Linked DNA regions of Alligator mississippiensis. The protein of the gene in region 2 interacts with the protein of the main gene of each other region in a pairwise test. Links are inferred from orthologs where the notes say so. Each region holds a gene or a part of one and is shown on either strand. Other genes may lie near its edges. The genes, in order: RALYL and RBM41.

Region 1 (7,137 bases), on a different chromosome or scaffold from region 2:
CTGCAACATTGAAAAAAGGCAAGACAAGCCATGGACCAAAGGGAAGTCAGCTGGAAACTGCTTGCCTAATGTATTTGTTTAAACATCTACACAATACTAAAAATGTCTGGCTAACTGTCCACTCTCCTCAGTTTCAAGAAAAAAACCCCTGTAATTTAAAAAGAAAAGGAAGCAACAGAAGATAGCATTCTGATCACTATTTATATTCATGTATTTCTCTCCATCTCCATTATGAAAATATAAGCAGTCTGAAACTTCTTAAATGTGATTATTGCACCAACAGATTGTAAGTACTCCAAAGAAATCATCATCATCTATCAGATAAATATCTAGATAGTGGCTTCTTGAAACATGGATTATTAGCTCAATATATTGTCAAAGGTAGTCAGTCCATCATGTCAATGCAGATGCCATGCATGCAAAGTACATCTTTTTACTAAGTATGTTTATTACACTTTTGTGGAAAAAGGATACCATCCCTGTATAATCACTACATTTCTACAGAGATAGCCGAGGTCAGTGGATTTTGTTGCTCCACATACTCAGCAAAATGACTGTGCATCACACTTGGTATACAAACTTCCCAATTTCAAAGAGCAAAGTAGTTAGAAGAATACAGTATCTGAAGCCTTTAGCTTCCAAATGCCCCTGTATTCCCATCAATTCAAAACTGACAAAAGGTTTGCTTACATCTGGGGAGGGAGGGAGGTAAACTGTTTCTCAGAAGATAATTTCCTTGTTATGGCTGAATGCAGAGTATATTTTTAGAAGGGTGTTATAAATCTCTGAAAATTGTCTACACACAAATGCTTTAAACAGTCCCATCAGCATAAAAGTAAACACAGAGAACACTGCAGATTGAAACAATCAGTACTTCAACTTTAACGAATCACTTCCTTGGAAGGGAAGAAGGAAATCACCACACCTCTCACTTGGAAAAATCTCTCCAAATCGTATTTTAGTGATCCAATACCCTGCCTCTAAATCAGGGAGCGTCTTAGGCACTGCAAAACAGTTACATACTCTTAATAGGAAGTAACAGTTTCTTCCCCAATCCTGAACTCTCAGTGACCGTCACGCGAAGTCACCGTTTCCCATCCCTGGCAGGCAAGTAACATTAATAATCATCCAAACAAAACGAAACACCTGAAAACAAAGATCGGCTCCTAATTAATCTCCATCCCAATGAGCCAAGCCTGACAAGAGCCGATCTGCTGCCTTGATCATTCCTGAATAGGAGGAACAGAAGTTGGAAATCTCCTTCAGGATATGGAGTATGTCTGGCAATGAGCCAGCCTCTCGCAGGGCTCCTGTTCTGCTGCTTCTCTCCCAGCCACCTAAGACTTTGTAGTGGGCATTTTCTACACCCCCACACACATCATATTTCCTACTCGCAATCCACTCCTCTTATTTTTAAGCCCTCGAAGTGTCCCCTCTCACCACCAGGTTTCATTGCGGGTCGTGGCCCCCCCAGCCACCCTGCTACACAGTACAGTAGAGAAACCACCACTCGCAGCTTCAACCGACCTGAGCTCAATCAGTGCAATATTTTGCAAGCATCCACGCGATCAGGCGGCAGACAGGGATTTAGTTTCATCTTCCTTCTACTGCGGGAATACCTTTAGCTGCGAATCCGGAGAGATTGATATATATATATTACAAAAAAAATCTCGTAATATAATTTACAAAGAGTGGAAACGCCTCCAAGGAGATGTACCTGCACTGGGGAGATGCTCAGTTGTTCACTTCATCTTCCGTTGACAAGGAAACCAAACCGCACTTCATTCTCCAGGAAAACCTTCCACTGCCACCATTTGAAAATGTATTTATTGGTATATATGTATCTATCTAGCACCAGCATCATCATCATGGCAATCACAAGCATTATAAGATTACGCAGGTAAAAGAATGAAGAAGTCAAATGTGCAAAAGTAAACCATCATTGGCTTGGATTTTTTTTTTTTTCTCTCTCTCTTTGGGTTGGTTTTAAGGAGGAGGAAAAAAAAGTATTTAAAAAGGATCAACTGCCACGAGCTGCAAGAAAAGTTTCACGTTATAAACGGGCATCAAAAGCAGAAGAAGAAGGAAGGGGGAAAAAACGTTGCTGACTGCACCGAGGGGCAAAAGGGGGAAACCACAGCAAAAAGCAACAAAACGAGCATCTTGCACCCGGTTTGAATTTTTTTTTTTTTTGCAAGATCACAAACTCTTGGTAAACACGGCTTGTAAAACGCACTTGCAATTCCCCACCGAAGAAAAAAAAAAAAGCAACACACCAAACAATATTAGTAAAACCCCAAGAAGATGAAAAACAACACCAAAATTTCAAACCCCATCCGGGATTAAAAAAAAAAAAAATCCTCTGCAAAAAAATAAAAAGGGGAGTTATAAGACATATGCCTTTTGTTTTTGCTCTTTTTTTGTTTGAAAAAAAAGCAATGCTTTCTAGGTTATACTGTGCACCACAAAACCAGTTGCATACAGACAGAGAGAGAAAGAGAGAGAGAGAGATGAGAAAGGTCTGGCTAGAGACAGAGCCCGTCTCTGGACTGGCGAGTCGTCTCGCTTATCGCTATCGGGCTCGTCCTCCCGGCCAGGATCAGGCCCCTGCCATCCCCGCCGACTCCCAGCCCCGGCAGCACCGTCTGCTCACAGTTTGGTCCCCCATCGCATGCTAGGGAAAAAAAAACAAAAACCAAAAAACTTGCCCTCAGGAAAAACAAAAAAAGGATCAAATCCCTGGAAACAATAATCAAAGAGGAAGAAGAAGAAGAAGAAGAAAAAAAAAGAAGCAAAAATAAAAAAGGAAGAAAAAAAAACCCGGGACAAAAAAAAAAATAAAAAAAAAGGAAAAAAGGGAGGACAAGAATGCCGGCGGAAAGGTACTCACCGAGCGGGAGTAAAAGGGAGGAATAAAAATGAGTTACTACAAAATACAGTATGGCGGTGGAGGAAGGAATGAGGCGCTTTTTCTTTTTTTTTTTCTTTCTTTTTTTTTCCTCCTCTTTCTATTTTTTCCCCTCCCCTCGCTCCGGTCGCTGCCTCAGGCGGCGGGCACGTGACGCGCGGCAGCCAGGCTGACTCGCAGGCAGGGGGGGAAGGGGTGAACCCCACCGGAGGAGCCCGACTCACTCGCGCGGCGGCGGCGGCAGCGGCGGCGGCGGCGGGGCGGAGACTGGAGCCCGCAGCGAGCGGCGGAGGCTGGAGGCGGCGGCAGCCAGACAGGAGCAGGTGCCTCTCGCACGGGCTCCGCGCGCTGCGTGACACACACACGCACACTCACATACACACACGCACACGCACGAGGCAGGCAGGGGACAGGGCAGCTGGCGGCGGCTGCAGTCGGGGGAGCGCCGGAGCCCCCCCAACCCACCCCCACGTGTGTGTGTGTGTGTGTGTGTGTGTGTGTGAGATGCGCGCGCGTGTGTGTGACGCCTGGGGTGTGTGTGTCGCACGCTGGGGCCACAACTTGCTCCCTCCGCATCTCGAAGTCCCCCCTCCCCGCTGCCCTCGCCTGGAGCCTGCCCGGTGCACCTGGCACCTGCGGCTTCCCTCCCCCGGCGCCGCGGGCAGGCAGAGGTGCGGGGCTGGGGCTGTGCCCGTCCCGCGGGGCCGGCTGCAGAGCTCTGGTCCCTGGCGCTCCCCCTACCTCCGCTGCCCCGGCGCCAGGGGCGCTCGCGAGCCGGGGCTGGGCTCCGCGAGAAACACCCCGGCGCCGGACCCTTTCTCCGCCTACTCTGCTCGGGTGCCCTGCGCCCCTGCACTGCCCTGCCCTGCCCCCCGGGGACAGGTGGGTCTGCTGCTGTCAGGAAGGAAGTTCCCGGCAGAAAAGCAGCGGCGCTTCACCCTCCGGGTCCCCCGAGTTAACTCCGGGGAGAGGAGCTGGTCACTTCATGCGGGTGCCCCCTCCTGTGAAAGAGCACGTACAGGATCCGCCCCCGCATCGACCAAGGACGACTTAGGCTTGGGGGCTGGACTGCCCTGTTGCACCCTGCACAAGAAACAACCCAGAAAAGCACAGCCCAAAGGCAAGCCTAGGGTCGTTCTTTCATCATCTCTGTTCCAGCTCAGCCTTCCTCGTTCCCTCTTCATCCGCAAACCCTGCAGTTGCTCGCTGCTGGGAGGAGGAGCAGCTTTCCAGTCTCTAACTGGTAGCCTAGTGAAGGATGCGACCATTTCAGCACGGTAGTGTGAAGCCTCTGTAACTTTTCAGTGAGTCTCGCTGCAGATTCTCCATGTTAAGGGAGCATCTACACGAGGTGGGTCGAGTGCAGTAGACTAAATCTACTGCACATTAGCATGGCAGGCAAAACCTGTGCCAATGCGCTAATGTGCAGTAATTTTAGTCTACTGTGCATTAATGTCACAACAAGACCGTTTCTGCTAATGTGCAGTAGTGCTGATTGCAGCACCATAAGTTAGTATCTGGCATTACAGGTACTAAACTTAATGCACTGTAATTGCGGGGCATTAATGAATGTGTAGATGTGCCCCTTGGGATTCTAAATGAATGGACCAAAATAATTTTGGTTTCATGGAAAAACAAAATGCCATGTCAAAAACTAACAAATCTCGCTGAGTATTTGGTTCATGTAGGCAAGTGGGTATTGCCTGCAGCAGGGGAGGCTTGTGGGGAAAGATATCTCTGTGGAATCAATGTGTCCAGGGCTATAAGTACCTCCACAAACAATACATTGAAAAGGACTCTGCAAGCCAGACAACTCTTATACCAGTGTTTTCCTTCGTTCGCATCTCAGAATTCAGATGTCAGGAAAGGAAAGAACTGTAAGTTAGAATAGAGGATACCAGTGATAGGAATAAGTGCAGAAGAAATATCCAAGTCAGACTGGAGGCCAAAATGAGAAAGTGGTTCCTGTATTCTCTTTTGTTCAGTTATCTTCTTTCCAACCCTTCTGATTTTCCCAAACTTTTTATTTCTTCATTTTAGTCAATTTTTTTAGATCAACTATTTTCCCCTGACACATAAGCAATAGTAGAAACAATGTTCCACTATGCTCATTCTGTTCTACTTTTTCCATTGCCATATTATTCTGTGTGGGTTCAATTTAAACACCAGTTATTTTATGGGAAAACATCCACATAGCCAATCAGGATGCAAAAGAACAATAAGATTACTACTCAAAAAGAAAATTACTGCCTTGATCAGTACAATGATGATTTTCTGAATTCAAGATTGACAGCATCATCTCTGCATCTTCCTCTCCTAACTCAGCCCTTCCTTATCATATGTTAAGTCCATTTTCCCCACAAATTTTCTGTCCTTCCAGTCCTATACCTCTACACTAGTGTTTTGGTGGATAAAAACTAAAACTCTCCTTTTCTGTTTCTTTTTTGTTCTCAACTTGTTTTAAAATTGTAGCTCTCCATAAGAAAGAATAATGGCTACAGTTTAACAATATAAAATAAAACATGCTTCTTTGGGTTTCTTTCTCTTTATTTTTGGTTTTAAATTTGTTCTGGCTTTTCATACGGCTCCCAGCTGCTCTTTTATGACTGAGTTTGGCTTTCAGCACTGGGACTGTAGATCTCAGAACTCTGAGGGAGCTATAAATGGAGAAATATTAAGGGATCCTTAGGGATATTGAAAACCCCTAGGAAATAAAAATGGTTTATAATGTAACTAACACATCAAACAACAGTGATTTACATAGTGACAAACTCAGTCAACATTGTCATAGTTGTGCTATAATCTGGAAATTCAGCATGTATAAAATATATTTTCTTGATTTTCTTACATTCGGTCCCTGTAAGGATTAAGTAAGCACTGCACGGAGAAATATCGTCCAATGAGCTAAGGAGTTAAGCCCAGTCCTATAGATTTAGCAGTATTCAGCTTGAAAGCAAATAAGTAGGTCCCACTAACATTCCTATTTGTAGGATCAAGGCCTAAATTAGAATTTCCTTTTGTTGTTGTTCTATTGCCATCGCTGCTTATTATGTTTTTATAAGTTTGTGCATGTGTTTCTTTCTGAAAAATAAAAATAAAATAAATTATTTAATGTAAGAGCATGTACCACTGTCCAAGAAATCACCTAAATTCTGAGTGATGGATCTGCATCCCATCAGGAACCTGGATAGATATAGTATTTGGAATACATATTTTATGAGTTGCAGTAGATATTATTTATAAATTGGATTGCAGTTGTTTTTGTATCAGGTAAATATGTATTTGTGCATGTTTTCACTTTTAAAGTACGATATTTATTTGATACAGTGTAACAGCCAAAATATCATTGTGCAAATCCATACTTAAACACTTACTGAAACTGCATTGTTCAGTTTGACTTAAAGGTATATATGCACAATGCTGTATTGCATTCTATGTGAGAAAAAAGCTCCAAAATCATAAGACTTAACTTCTCAGTCTAGGCATGATCATAAATATTGAGAAAATGAACTCTCAAGTCTATAAAGACTTGATCATACAGAGTGTAGGTAAAAGTCAGGGAAGAGGACAGGTGATTCATCAAAAGGTGCCCAGAATGGTGATTTTCTGCTCATACTCTGATTATGAGAACTAAATTGTTGGAGGTAAATCCTGTGTGTGGTCTGGCAAGAACACAATGTCCAGGGTAGGTTAAGAAGGACTGAGTAACACATGGGATGTATCCTAATAGGAACTGCTTCTGGCCCTTCTAAGAGGTCTTGGCCCTACAGACTTCAGAATGCTACTGAAAGATGAGTGAAGAGCTTAAGTGAGCGAGATTAGCATCTAATGCATAGATTTTACGATCTGGTATGTGGAAGTGTGCACAATACTCAACAAAAGGAACCATGCTTGTCACCAGCAATGCATGAATTAAATTGAAAGAGAAGGGACGGGGGCCTAACTAAAATCACAGCCAAGGCATAGATGTTTAAATTCAACTCATTGCATGCAAATGATGTGCCTAGTGGCTATTTTTTAATTTTTCATATGCTCCTGCTATCTAGCAATAAAACCTCATTGAAGTGAATTCAAAAGCTGCCTTAAAAGTAACTGACAATATGGCATACCTGAGCAATTCTGCACCTTGCCTACTGATACAAAAGATTCCCAAGAAATATCATTTTTTACAATCAGCTGTTCAGTGCCATATGAAAGATGGTGAACCTAATGTTCTTGTTAGCCATCTG
Region 2 (7,315 bases):
ATATGGCAGTGGGGGAGCGGTGGCTGTGTTAATTGCCTCTCCCGCGCTGCCATATTTCTGGACACATGGAGAGCCCTGTGGGCAGATGACATGGCCTACCATGCTAGACAGCCTGAGAGCCAGGGTTCACTCCAGAGCAAATCTCATGCATATGGTCAGACCAGCATGCTGGGCTGGATCCAGCATGTGGGGCCAGGTCAGCATGCCAGACTACACCCAGAAATCAACCCCAAATACCAACCCCACACCATTCATCCTGCCCACAAGGCTGGAACTTTGAGCACCACTGATCTGTCACCAGCAGCTGAAAAATCTAACTGCACCTTGGGTTTGCACATGAAGAATGCTGGGAGCAACAACCACACTCCCAAGCTCACTGCCTGAGTAAGACACTGCAAAAGAAGCTCCTGCTGTGAAAAGTCCCTAATAATTTCTGTTAGAAATTAAGCTGCACCACTATGCCCTCACCATTAGTGTGATGCTTTCCTGCCATCCTTTGTAATCTGAGCATCCTCGATTTACTGGTACACTTGTGCCAGCAGCAGTAGCCTATGTCCTCTGTCTTCTTTTGTATTTTGCCAGCTGGTTCAATACTCACTGTTCAATGGAGACAGTGGTGTCAAGCTGATGGTGAAGGAGGCTCTTCAGCTGCCTTTCTCCTTCTGTCTCCAAATCCTCCAGGAGGACATCATCAGCAGACAGACAGCTGTTGACCCTGGGGAATCACAACCAATGCACAGGTGGTCAGTAGAATACAAAAGGGGCTTCACTCCCTAATACACCACAGTGAACTCTTGGTAGCACACTGATTGCCCCATCCTTTATTAGGACATTAAGAAGACAACCTGACACTGCAGATGGGCTCCGAAGAACATGATGAAACTAAGACTAACCTGAACCATGGAGCTCCCACTAATACCAAGCATAACGTTGCAGAGAGTTGAGACTATTTCTCCAAAAAAAAAAAAAAAAAAAAAAGATATCCCAAGAGTATATTTTTAATTCAAATGGAAGCTTTTATTCTTATTTCCAGAAGACCTATTTTAAGAAATGGATCCTGCTTAGCTTCCAGTGACTTCATGTAAAAAGAAACAGAACGTAAAGCCATGTTCTTTTCTGCCTTTCGAAGGCACGTCTTGTTCCATGTAGGTTACTCTCTACAGAGTAAAGAAGGACATTAGCATTTACTATTTGTGATCCTTCAATTCTAGGTGTTCACAGAAAGAGGTAAGAATGGGACTAGGAAGGAACATCTGACGTTAGTCTCAAACTCCACCTATAATGTAGGAGGCACTGGATGATTCAGTTAACATGGGGAAGAGCAAAAATAATTAGCAATGCTGGCTTTCTAAATCATTATCAAGTCATACTTTGTTATGACGAATGAGTTAGCTCTCACTGTGCTCAAAACTGGTTCAGGCTGTCCATCAGTGGGAATCAAACATGGCTGTTTGGGCATGCAACTTCAAAAGGAAGACTTCCTGCCCTAGTTTCCAGCATTCAGAGGCCCAGGAAGGGCAGGGGATGGATCACTCTGGAGGAGCCCTGCATAAATACTCTTCTACTTGGCATCCACTCTGCTACTGCAAGATAAATACTGGGCTAGATGTGCCTCTGCTTTGACCTGATATGGAACTTCCTATGCTCTTAACTCAGTCACACAGCCAAGGAGGTGATACTTCCCCTCTATCGGGCGCTGGTCAGACCACAGTTGGAATACTGCATCCAGTTTTGGGTGCCACACTTCAAGAGGGATGTGGATAACTTGGAGAGGGTCCAGAGAAGGGCCACTCGTACGGTTAAGGGCTTGCAGGCCAAGCCCTACGAGGAGACTAGGGCACCTGGACCTCTTCATCCTCAGCAAGAGAAGGTGGAGAGGTGACCTTGTGGCTGCCTATAAATTACTCATGGGGGCGCAAAAGGGAATTGGTGAGGCTCTACTCACCAAGGCGCCCCCGGGGGTAACAAGAAATAATGGCCACAAGCTAGCAGAGAGCGGATTTAGACTGGACATTAGGAGGAACTTCTTCACAGTAGAGTGGCCAAAATCTGGAACGGGCTCCCAAGGGAGGTGGTGCTCTCCCCTACCCTGGGGGTCTTCAAGAGGAGGTTAGATAGGCATCTGGCTGGAGTTATCTGAACCCAGCACTCTTTCCTGCCTATGCAGGGGGTCAGACTTGATGATCTATTGAGGTCCCTTCCGACCCTAACATCTATGAATCTATGAAACATATAGGTGAACAGCTCTGTAACAGGGGACAGCTTTCTTCACAACCAGACCTGGAAAGTTTGTCCTTGGATCCTAAATGAAAGCTTTGATTCTGTTTAACTATAGAGGCAAGAGGAGCCCACTTAGACCAAGCTGCTTTGTGTTAACATGGAGATTTAAAAAAAATCTTTTCAGTGGCTTCATCAGTAACAACAAGCCTGAACCTTGGTACTGAAAAACTGCTAAAAACTCTTCCTGGAAAGCCTGCAGACAGGAGAGACTGGGAAGTCCTTATCACCACATCAGCAGCATTTCAAAATAGCTCATGACTTGGGGCAGCAGCATCTGACAGGACAGCCAAAGACAGGGACCAGACAGCTCAGGAGGTGAATGTTGGGCCTGGTCTGCGTCTCCCTCCCTGGCCAACCAACCCCCTTGCCAACACAGCCCACACTCACTCCGGAGCAACTCTGCTAGGGCAGGGCTGTCAAATATATAACCAGTCCTCCAAATCTGGCCTGTGGAGCCCCATTCTCTGGCCTGCTGTGCTGCCCTGGCTCTGGAGCAGACCCACACGTGGCACATGGTGCCACCCCAGCCCCTCACACTGGCCCGGCCCAGCCAGAGTGGGCATCACGGACTCCCAGAGACGTGGGGCTGGAGGGACCTAGTCCAGCCGCTGCCCGAGGCAGGCTGGTCCCTACCCAAACACCTATCCATGGGATAGGTGTCACGGCCCGGCTGGGGCAGGCACCACGCGGAGCGAGCGCTGGGCCTGGGGTGGCTCCACCAGCCCGCGCACAGGTCGAGGAGACGGCAGGTCAGGGCCAGGCCGCTGGAGAGTAAGCTTCGACCCCGCGCCACGGCGGGCCCCGCCTCTCCCCCGTGCCCTACCCCTGCAGCAGCCCTTCTCCGCGCCCCAAAGCCCGGGAGCGAGGGGCCGTGCTCACCTCCGCATGGCCGCCGGCAGTAGCGCGGAGCCCGCCCCGCCGCGCTGCCTAATGGCGGCAAGCGCCGAGCGCTACGGCAGCAAAGCGCCTGGGGCAGCCGGTGGGGAGGCGGGCCCCGCCCCGCCCCGCCCCGCCCCGCCCCGCCCGCGCGGTTTGCGCGCACGCAGCTGGGGCGGCGCTGCGGGGCCGCGCTCGCTGGCTCGGCTCCATCTGCCGGCGAGCCGACGCTGCCTCGGGACCAAGCCCCGCATCCCTTTCAAGCTCGCGGGGGCTCGGCCCTCCCTTGTCCTTGAAAAGTCGTTTCAGTCATGATTTAAATCCCACCCTCCCCCACAAGCCCGGTTTGAAAAGAGCAGTCATGTAACAGGTTTGGAGCCAGCCGCCGTTCCCATTGTCATCTGTCCATCTGCTTAGCAGCTGACTAAGAACCCAAGCCAGCTCTGCCCTGGGGTGCAGGTGCCTTACCAAAAGTGTTGGTGAGATGACAGTCGTCCCTTTGTCCACCTACCACCTTACTGCAACTTAGTGCCTAAGTGAAGCAACGTAGCTGCCTTAGCATTGAGCAACACTGGAGGTATGCTCTCCTCTTAGCTGGCAGAGGTAGTTGTTTCAGGGCTGTTCCAAGACAGAATATGCACTTACAGAATATGAGCATGCAAGTGCTTTATGGCAGTGCTCCCACGTGCAACAGAGATAACAGAGATACCCTAAGCATGGATGAGGAACAAAATGCATTCAGTATGTTTGATGTTGTAAAGTAAATGCTGACAGTTAGATGTTGCCTCAGCTGTAGGAGTCTGAGTTTTCCCAGCCCAATGAAGCTAAGCTGTTTCTCCCTGTGAAGCCTTATTGCTGTTTACCACAGTTTCATGCATAAAAACCAGCTGCAGGAAGCTGGAGTCCACACTATGCAAAAAAAGAGCAGTTTCTGCTCCTTGCCACCAGACGCTGAAAATAAAGCCTCCGCACCATCCACAAGTAAGCAGGCTCAACTCCCTAGCTGCTGCTACTCAGTTACTCACTACAAGCAACATTTTTTCCTTCATCCAGCCTTTCAAAACTAAGGTATCTACCTTAGGCCAGGACCCACTATGCAAGAAAATGGCATTTGTGTCTTGATGCAAGTCTCATACATCTTCAGTGTAAGAAAGTTACCATATAAATTAGGATCAAGTTTCACTATCTGTATAATTAGTTTAAAGGGGTGTAGGTTGTAGCTGTGTTGGTCTAGAGACACAGGCAGACAAGGTGCTTTGGGTAAATCCGATATCTTTTATTAGACCAACTTAAATAGTTGGAGAACAATTTTTAAGCAAGCTTTTGGGTTCAAAAACCCTTCTTCAGGCTAAGGAAGTTTCTGCATTTGGTGTGTGCTCTTCCTGGCTGGAATGAAAAGTCAAAAAGCCAGAGGCTGGGCTGGTATGCATATAAGACAGGCAGTCAGTGAAAATGGAGATTGAGGAGTCAATGGGTGAGACACAGGCGGGGGGGGGGGGGGGGGGGGAGGGGGGCGCGAAGAGAAGGGGGATGAATAGTGAAGTACCTGGGAAGTCAGCTGTCAGGCAGGTTATAATGCATCATAAATCCAATATCTATATTTAGTCCATGCTTTTTAGTGTCCAGGAGGTTGATGAAGTGGAGTTCTGAAGCCCAGAGCAGCATGCAGCTGAAGCCGGCTTCCCACATGCTGCTGGGGATGGAAGGAGCCCAGCAGAAGTGGTGGTGGAGCCATGTGCCACTCAGGACTGACCGGTGCAGGCAGGGGGAAAGTGCAGCTGAGCCCCTGCTCCTCCACCTCGGCTCATCCCGTCCCAAGTGGTACATGGCTCTGTCACAGCTTCTACTGGCCGGTGCAGACGCAGCCGGGCTCCTCTCAACCACAGCAGCACGTGGGAAGCTGACTTCAGCTACATGCTGTCTTTCCTGGCTGGTGCAGACTGTCACAACCCAGTGATTTTGGTGCCTCGACACTATGGAATTTTCTTGTCACATGAGAGCCTCTTGCACAGCGAGGGTTTTTGCTGCATAAAGAACCCGCGTGCAGGAGAGAGTTCCCGCCAATTTGCAGCCGTCTTTGCAGGCTGCATTTTCCCTTTGCAGCACAGAAGTGCACGGTGCAAAGAGTTCCCGCTATTCGAATGCAAATCTGTGTCCCGCTATTGGCTAGTGCTAAATTATTCACACGTGGTGGCTGGTAATTGGCTTGCTGGCCGTTTAAAAATTCGCGCAACTTCCGCCCAAGTTGAAGAACTTTAAGCACACTGCAGAGCGCCTCTAAAGAGATCTGACTTGTGGCTAGCTGGTCGATAGACTGATCACCTATTGATCCTTCTTCCCGTTGCCGAGCGCAATCCCAGACGTACACTTTTCCCGCTGGCTTAAGTTACGGACGGATTTGCTGGCTTTGGCCTCGCCAGCTGGAACAACTTACATTGTTGTTCAGACGACCGGACCGTTTCCGTCGCCACCACCCGCGACGTAAGTAAAGTTTTTACAACCATTAAACCTTGTCTGCCTCTCCATTCACCAGCCCACCCTGACAAACGAGCAATTTCTAAATCACCTCGAGTCAGCTCTGGCTGGCCGAGACACAGACCTGGCCAGGTCCGTCTCATCCGGAGCAGCATGCAGCTGAAGCCAGCTGCTGGGGATGGAGCAAGCCTGACTGGGTCAGCACTGGCCAGCAGAAGTGGTGGTGGAACCTCCTCCCTTTAGAACCAGCTGGAACGGGTAGGGGGAAAGTTCTGGGGGAGCTGATGCCCCTGAAACCCCACTGCTGGGGCAGGATGTTAGAGGGGTCACAACCCCTTGCTACCTGGTAAGTTGTGCAGGGGGAGGGACTTCCAGTGGCAAAGGTCAGGGTTCAGGATGTCTGGTCCCAAGATGGCGACCAGGGGCTGGGGCAACTGAAGGGGTGGGGCTACCCATGCGGTGCTCCACACCCCACCAAAACTCAACAAGTGGCCCTCCACCCGAAATAATTGTCTGCCCCTGATATAACTAGTTATGACCATTTCGACAGTGCTATTTTACCCCATTTTTGGCATCGCGTTTCAGAGGTAAAAGCATATGAAGCCAATACCATAACACACACATCAAGGTAATCCCCAGGAATGGCATATCCAGTTTAGGAACACACTGGGTTATTAGCACACCTACCTTTGTCTCACATTTTGGAATAGTTCCTACAGGAAGATGATAACGCAGCACTCTTTTCAATCGAGTATAATGGGGGATATTTGACATAAGTATATAAAAGGTCGGTCACTTGACTTCACAAGATTTAAAATTGTTGACAACAGCAAACACAGAGTAGATGCACAGGCTGTATGTACAAAGAACATAGAACTGGAGCGTAGACACTGCAAATTTCAATGTGATATCCATTAAGATAGATACTATGAACTACTGGAGCTTTGGAATGGAAAGTACTTTATTGTAATAAAACAAGATGGTATCATAATATTCACTCTGACCCCCCAACCCCCACAAGTTTTACATAATGATTATCAGATGAATATTCCAGCGGGAAGTTTTCTTGAATCGCTCAATCAAAAGTGATCCGAAAACTGCGTTCCTGCTCCTTGCGGCGACTTTCACATACTTTTGTCACCTCCTCCACCTTCCTCTGGAGCAGGGCTGTGGGCAAAGACACATAGGTGATCAACCTAGAAATGAACGTCCCAAGATACAGCTCTGGAAAGCACGGGTATGCATCAGAGTGTCCAAGATAGGGTTCAGAAACGGGGGATGGGGGGGGGGGGAAGGAGAGGGGATTTGCTGTATATTTAAATGAGTGGTGCTCAGTCTTTTGGCCCTGCAGGCTGATGAGTGGTGCAGGGCCAGTCTGCATGCTGGGATTGGTCCCCGCATTGCCCCTGCACACCAGCACAGGGCCCCACACTAGCCTGCGTGCCCAAGCATGATCACATGTGCTAGATGTCTGGTCTGCAGGACTCCCTAAGAGGGCAGAATCTGGCAGCAGGGGAGCAATGATACTGCTGCCCCGCTGCCAAATTTTTGGACCTATGGGGAGCCCTGTAGGCCGGATGACCAGGGGCTGGACCTGGCCCATGGGGTGCAGGTTGAGCCACCCATTTTAAACCAGTTGTGGGTTTTTTAATTACAGTTTTACTAAACTAACATCAAAGCCCTC

What was found.
Region 1: the proteins of RBM41 (region 2) and RALYL interact in binary tests that used the Homo sapiens proteins (3 or more experiments, as listed by UniProt). The two-hybrid records come from large-scale screens. The link is inferred for Alligator mississippiensis from reciprocal best matches to the Homo sapiens genes RBM41 and RALYL.

What each region holds. Positions count from the first base shown.
Region 1 is NC_081826.1:51,195,337-51,202,473, forward strand, and holds the start of RALYL (RNA-binding Raly-like protein), read right to left. Parts: upstream 3,117-7,137; 5' UTR 2,891-3,116; exon of another isoform or gene 1,805-2,890; 5' UTR 1,718-1,804; intron 1-1,717.
Region 2 is NC_081831.1:41,689,359-41,696,673, forward strand, and holds the start of RBM41 (RNA-binding protein 41), read right to left. Parts: upstream 3,267-7,315; 5' UTR 3,168-3,266; coding exon 3,160-3,167; intron 716-3,159; coding exon 599-715; intron 1-598. Other genes in the region: NUP62CL (nucleoporin-62 C-terminal-like protein), read right to left, coding at 6,707-6,798. UniProt on the Homo sapiens protein: May bind RNA.